2 linked regions of the Coturnix japonica genome follow. The protein of the gene in region 2 binds, or shares a complex with, the protein of the main gene of each other region. Links are inferred from orthologs where the notes say so. Each region holds a gene or a part of one and is shown on either strand. Other genes may lie near its edges. The genes, in order: S100A10 and ANXA2.

Region 1 (4,562 bases), on a different chromosome or scaffold from region 2:
CACATTCCTGTCTCCCCTCCCTCCTCAAGCCCCGCCCACTTCCGGTCCACGCTTCTCCTCTCTGCCTTCACGCCCATAGGGACCGACGGGCTGTGCGGAGCCATGTTGGATACGGGCAAGCGGGCGAGCACTTCCGGAGCGAGGGGCGTTGGCTTCATCGCTATTTCAGAGCATGGCGAGCTGCCGCCATGTTGGGTGAGGGCGGGAGGGGGTGTGAGGAGGCGCCGCCATCTTGAGTGGGGACAGGGGAACAGAGAGGGGGCAGCGAGGAGATGGAAGGGGATGGCGGGGGTAATGGGGGGGAGAGGGTCAGCTTTTGGGGCGGCCTTTGGGGTGTGCGGTTGGGATGTGGGGAGTGGGGGTCATTTGGGGTAAGGGTGGTCCTGGGGGGGAGGGGGCTGAGAACCGGGAGAGCCCCATAAAGGTCCCATTTCATTTCAGGTCCCATTTCACTTCAGGGCGTTTTTTATTGGGGGGGGGATTAGAGCAGCCCTTCAGTAATGAGCTGCGCTAATTGAGCCGTGTCTGCGTGGGCAGGTGGTGGCACAGCGCCTGCTGGGTGCTGCCAGATACTGGGTGCAGATAGAGGTGATGGAGGGCACCTGCAGTATCATGGGGGTGAATTCAGCCCCAAAGGCATCGGGGCTGCTCTCAGGGGGTCACTGGCCCCTGCCCCAATGAGAGCCATCGCCCCATGTGCAGCCCTGTCCCCCTGCATGGCTCTGTCCCTGCAGGTGATCCTGGCCTTACAGGTGTGATCCTGGCCCTACAGATGTGATCCTGGCCCTATAGATGTGATCCTGGCCCTAGAGGGGATCCTGTCCTTACAGGTGTGATCCTGGCCCTGCAGATGGGATCCTGGCCCTGCAGATGGGATCCTGGCCCTACAGATATGATCCTGGCCCTGCAGGTGATCCTGGCCCTAGAGGGGATCCTGGCCCTACAGATGATGTTGGCCCTATAGGTGATCCTGGTCCTACAGATATGATCCTGGCCCTAGAGGGGATCCTGGCCCTACAGGTGATGTTGGCCCTACAGATGCGATCCTGGCCCTGCAGGTGATCCTGTCCCTAGAGGGGATCCTGGCCCTACAGATGTGATCCTGGCCCTACAGGTGATCCTGGCCCTACAGGTGATGTTGGCCCTATAGGTGATTCTGGTCCTACAGATGTGATCCTGTCCCTGCAGGTGATCCTGGCCCTACAGGTGATCCTGTCCTTACAAGTGTGATCCTGGCCCTGCAGGTGATCCTGTCCCTATGGGTGATGCTGGCCCTATAGGTGATCCTGTCCCTATAGGTGATGCTGGCCCTATAGGTGATCATGGCCCCAGATGTGCTCCTGTCCTCCATGTCCCCATACACAGCCGTGACTCCAAGCGCAGCCCTGTCCCTACAAGTAATGGCCGTGTCCCCAAAAGAAACCCACGTCGGTCCCTCAGTACGTTCCTGTCCCCAAAGCTGTTTCTCACAGCTCTCAGTGCCCACAGCTCCTTGGTGGCCCTGTCCCCAAGTGCAGCCCCGTGCCCGGGGTTAGGGCCACATCCCTGAGCCAGGTCCCTAAGAACGGCCCTGATCTTAGGGATGGACGGGCCTGTACCCAAAGGCGGCCTCGTCCCCAGGCGCCCCCTCCCCAGCGGTGCTCCCCTCCCCAGGAGCCACCAGGTGGGACACGCGTTCAGGTGACACATAGTGGCCGGGGGGGGCTGATAGTGGCCGGGCAGGAAGGGGTTAAGGCTGAGCGCTGCGGGCGGGAGCGACTGAGTCAGCCCCAGGCCCCCCCCGGGTCCCCCCCCCGGGGCGGTCCCGCCCCCTCCGTGCCTATCCCGGGCGGTGCCACCGCCCCGCAGTGCCCCGGTCTGCGCCGTGCGGTGAGTACCGACCCCCCCCCTCCATAGGACCTCTCCATAGGACCCCCGCCTCATTTGGGTCCCTTGGAACCCAGCTCCTCCAGGCATTGACCCGCAATGGGGTGAGGACCCTTTATATAGAGGACCTCCCTACACCCTTAGAGAGAAGCCCTATTCATAGAGGATACCCCCGTCCCACCCCCTCCATAGCAGTAACCCTGCTCCATCATAACCTCCATCTGGAGGGGGGGGGTCCCATCCTGCACCCCCCCCTCTTAGGAGGTCCCGGCTCTTCCCCTCACCCCATATCACCCCACAAAGCTCGGGGTCCCCCTCATTCCCTCCCCCTTCACTCCATAAACTTTGAGGGCTTTCCACCCGCACATCACCCCATAAGATTTGCTTTCCCCCCCCCCTCCCATACACTATCCCATCACCCCATAAACTTTAGGATCCACCCCCACCCCCCCTTGAGATGCTGCAGCTTTATTTCTATTTATTTACTTATTTATTTGGGGGCTGTTGGAACAGGGGAGAGTTTAATGCAAAGGTTGGGACTCTGCCATTATTTTCCACTTGGGGTGGGACCCCCCCCTCCTTCCTTTTCCCCCTTTCCTCTTCCCCCTTTGCAGGTATAGAGGAGTGGTCCCCAAAACCAAACTGTGTGTCCCCCCCCTCCCCAAAGCATTAAAGCTGAGCCGGAGGGACACCCCAACGCCTCACCCCCAGGGTGGAGTCTCCATTCCTGCAATGGAGTGGGGGGGGGGGGGAGCAGCTTTGGGATGTGCCCCCCCCATCCACGATTGTAGGGAATCCAGGAGGGGCCCCACCCTGGGAGGAGGCGCCGTGACTCAGTGTGCCCAGGGCGGGGGGGTCCCGAGGGTGTCCCATAGGGAAGACCGGGGCGGGGTGTGTGTGTTGGAGGGGGGGGTTCAGAGGAGGGACACCGCAGCACATCACACCCGGCCCCGCCTCGCGGCCGTTGCCCGGAGCTGAGTCACCACGATGGGACGGAGGGCACGGAGCCCCACACACCCTATGGAGCCCCACACACCCTATGGAGCCCCACACGCCCCTATGGAGCCCCACACACCCTATGGAGCCCCACACACCCCTGTGGAGCCCCACACTCCCCTATGGAGCCCCACACTCCCCTATGGAGCCCCACACGCCCCTATGGAGCCCCACACATCCTGTGGAGCCCCACACACCCCTGTGGAGCCCCACACTCCCTATAGAGCCCCACACTCCCCTATGGAGCCCCACACACCCTATAGAGCCCCATATACCCCTATAGAGCCCTACGGAGCCCCACACACCCTATAGAGCCCCATACACCCTTATGGAGCCCCACACGCCCTATGGAGCCTCATACACCCCTATGGAGCCTCATACACCCCTATGGAGCCCCACACACCCCTATGGAGCCCCACACACCCTATAGAGCCCCACACACCCCTATGGAGCCCCACACACCCCTATGGAGCCCCACACACCCTATGGAGCCCCACATACCCTATAGAGCCCCACACACCCCTGTGGAGCCCCACACACCCTATGGAGCCCCACACACCCCTGTGGAGCCCCACACACCCTATGGAGCCCCACACACCCCACGATGCCTGACACGCCCCACAGAGACCCTCTGAAGCTCCATGGAACCCCACAAATCCCTTCTGACCCTGCTTCTCCCCATGCAGACCTGCAGACCCTCCTGATCCCTTCCAGCCCCTTTAGACTCTACTAAACCACGCAGACCCCAGTGAGACCCAACTGGACCCTTCCAACTCTGCTGATCCCACACCTTAGACCCCACTGTATCCTTCTGACCCCACAGACCCCACTGAGACCCTCACAGGACCCTGCTGACCCCACAGACCCCACAGCAGCCACCATGCCATCCCAAATGGAGCACGCCATGGAGACGCTGATGTTCACCTTCCACAAATATGCGGGTGACAAGAACTACCTGAGCAAGGAGGACCTGCGTGCCCTGATGGAGAAGGAGTTCCCCGGATTCCTGGAGGTGAGAGGTTGGACAGTGGGGTCACACTTACCCCACAGCCCTATAAGAGCTGGATACCTTGAGGCGGTGGGGAACAGAGCAGGGTCACACCTACCCCAGGGTTCTATAACCTGGAGGAGGGGAATGGGGCACAGTGGGGTCACAGCACCTACCACACTATGAGGTGCTGACCCGCTTCTGCCCCCAGAACCAGCGTGACCCCATGGCTCTGGATAAGATCATGAAGGACCTGGACCAGTGCCGGGATGGCAAAGTGGGATTCCAGAGCTTCTTCTCACTGGTGGCTGGACTGACCATCGCCTGCAACGACTACTTCGTGGTGCACATGAAGCAGAAGGGGAGGAAGTGAGAGACGGCCCCGCCGCCCCAATAAAGTGTTTTGTATGACCCTGCTGTGGCCTCTGCCTTGGGGTGGGTCATCACTGGGGGGTTCCCATCCCTGCATCCCCGTCAGCACCGGGTCCCCATCGCCATGGGAATCCCAGGCACAGATCCCCATCGCTGTGGGGTTCCCATCCCCATATCCCCATAATCAGCACTGAGTCCCATTGCTGTGGGGTTCCTATCCCCAAACCCCCTTCGCTGTGGGGTTCCTATCCCCATATCCCCCATAATCAGCCCTGAGTCCCCATGTCCATGGGGTTCTCATCCCCAAACCCCCTGTGCTGTGGGGTTCCCAACCCCATAT
Region 2 (2,509 bases):
CTGTCATCGGTGTGATGGACATACAGCAAACTACAGACAACTGAGTAACACCAGTAAAAGGTACAACGAATTAAACCTTCTAACCAAGGTCATTGTTGTGATCCAGGATTTTGATCACAAACGTACCTCTCTCACCAGTGATATCTGACTAACTTCTAGACACCAATCTAGCTACTTAGACTGGAAGCCACAGTTCTGGTTCTCCAGGAGGTCTTCATGTTAATGGTAATCACGTATTTCTCTTTCATAGCTTTTCTCAATAAAATGTTTTGAGGCAAATTTAGTTATTTATTTTTCCATTTCAATAAACAGATTTTCTGCTATCAGCTTGTGTCCACCTACAAGAGATACATCTAACCTTGGTAATTATGATCAACTGATCTAATGAAGATAATTATTATATGACTCTCCCCTGTACTTCTATATATCAGATGCTTATTAATAGATAGCCTATGAGCTAAGCTATTAAAGAATGCTTGTGAATAATACAAGGCCATCGTTATTTTATCCACATGCCATTTACACATCATATGAGTAAAACCAATAAAACCATCTAAGGGATAAAAATCTGATGAAACAATGGTTAGAAGGTAATGAGTAGAATGCACAATCTCTCTTACCTTCATGGAATCATAGAGTCTGTCTGCAAAGTACAGCTGCTTGTTCTGAATGCACTGAACTGAAGAGAGAGAGATGATAGATGGGTAAACATTCTGAACATGGAAGAATAGAACACAGAATCTCGGAGCCTTTTAAAGGCACGGTATGCTGTCAAAATAAGGTATTCTCCAAACGTTTCCCCAAAAAGGGGCAAAGAGAAATTGTTTCTACCTGTATTGTTATTTAGGAATTGTTTGGCTGCACTTGTGATCGAAGCACGAATGCTTGCAATCTGGGAAACGTTGCCCTCTGTTGCTAGTATAATTTCAGAAGGCAAACTTTCCTCCACACAATTCACTCTTGAGTCCATTTTTCACTTCTATGAACAACCTTTTTTTCCTGAAAACGTTCATTGTATGCTAATAGGTGAGAAGTGTCCCTTTCAAGGTTGAGCTGTCTTGATTCTGCACTAGCCTTATTCAGCTTGGTTCTCCCTTAGCCTGAAATGGATTCTTCTCTTAAAGAAAATCCTGTGAAACCTGGCAGCTTCCCATGTATTCTCATCTCATCCACAATAGCAGCCAGTCCAACCTTATTTCCCCACCTTACTTACCCTTAATTCAGAGAACTCAGAGCAAAATTAGCTCTTTTCTTAGTCTATGGTTCCCTCCACAGCCTGTCCTCCCTCACACACACACTGCTTGCTTTCCAGTCTATCCATGTTGAATTATTAATGTGCACAGAGAGAGTTCCAGCCTTTTTTATATGGAGGAAACAAGCATTAAGCTTCAGTATTGGACAAAATTGAAACTAACAACAGATGACAGAACATGTGCATTTTTCTCTTCATTTGGAAAGCAAGATTTATATCTTGCAGAGGGACAAAGTATGACACCTCTCAGTACCTGAAATACACAAACATATCCAATAATACCTGCCTTTCCAGTTTCCTTCTCCTCTAGTGATACAGAGGAAGCTGGGCCTATTTTCATCACAGCACACTACAAGAGCACTGAAAAGACACTATTTAAACACAGTCTTTATTTTATGGTAACTCACCAAGGTTAACGAAGGCATTCTCCAGATCTCCCTTAACTTCCTTCTTGATGCTCTCCAACATATCATATGGGCTGTAGCTCTTGTACCTTTCAAACACTGTTACAAGAAAGAAAGCAGATCCCATCAAAACCAAACTAGGAATGATTAAAAGTAAAAAAAAGAATAAAAAGCTAAAGGATCTTTCAAGGTAACATGCAGCCCTGTTTTCTAGATTTCTAACATTTTTCTTCTCAGTGTGCATGACATACCATTAAACGGTGGTTGCACATGTGTAAAAATAAAGACATCTATACATATCCATGGATACTTAAAAAATTGTAGCAACTTGCGTGTGAATAACATTTCTTTGATTGCTTTTCACACTTAGTTGAAAGCCGTGTGAAACAAAAGAGTTACCACTTCTTACAGGAGATAAAATGCAAACCTGTCTTTTAAATTGTACCTTTCTGCAGATGTGGCACACTTCTTTCAGTCATAATGTTGATCCACTTGGGAACATCAGTTCCCTTTCTCTTGACACCAGCATCATAGAGCTCCTGGGTAAAGAATGAAAATCACGAGTCACACAAAAAGCCATTTCAAACACAGACCATTTCCTTACTGAAAAATAGCACTACAGGAGCTGTGTCAGTGGGGGACACGCAAAAGGACACACATTTGGGACACTAGTGGGTAAGCATCCCATGAAAAATGGTATCAGGATTGCAAACAGCAGATACCTTGATATCATTCACATGTTGCTAAGCAAGAGAGATCTGAAATACACACATCTGCTTTCATACACTCTTTTCCTTTTCACAGTATTTGCGTTCTGAATATCCCCCAAAGTTTAATCAACTTAAGACATGTA

The links.
Region 1: the proteins of ANXA2 (region 2) and S100A10 are in contact, whole or in part, in a crystal structure (PDB 4FTG), measured with the Homo sapiens proteins. The link is inferred for Coturnix japonica from reciprocal best matches to the Homo sapiens genes ANXA2 and S100A10. Residues at the interface, in NP_001002857.1 of Homo sapiens: Val4, Glu6, Ile7, Leu8, Lys10, Leu11, Ser12, Leu13; in NP_002957.1 of Homo sapiens: Phe39, Gly41, Phe42, Asn45, Gln46, Ala51, Lys54, Ile55, Leu79, Ala82, Cys83, Tyr86, Phe87, Met91.

The regions. Positions count from the first base shown.
Region 1 is NC_029540.1:2,467,055-2,471,616, reverse strand, and holds S100A10 (protein S100-A10), read left to right. Parts: upstream 1-1,745; 5' UTR 1,746-1,869; intron 1,870-3,685; 5' UTR 3,686-3,742; coding exon 3,743-3,874; intron 3,875-4,061; coding exon 4,062-4,223; 3' UTR 4,224-4,261; downstream 4,262-4,562. UniProt on the Homo sapiens protein: Because S100A10 induces the dimerization of ANXA2/p36, it may function as a regulator of protein phosphorylation in that the ANXA2 monomer is the preferred target (in vitro) of tyrosine-specific kinase.
Region 2 is NC_029525.1:4,218,250-4,220,758, reverse strand, and holds part of ANXA2 (annexin A2), read right to left. Parts: intron 2,196-2,509; coding exon 2,102-2,195; intron 1,756-2,101; coding exon 1,660-1,755; intron 680-1,659; coding exon 621-679; intron 1-620. UniProt on the Homo sapiens protein: Calcium-regulated membrane-binding protein whose affinity for calcium is greatly enhanced by anionic phospholipids. It binds two calcium ions with high affinity. May be involved in heat-stress response.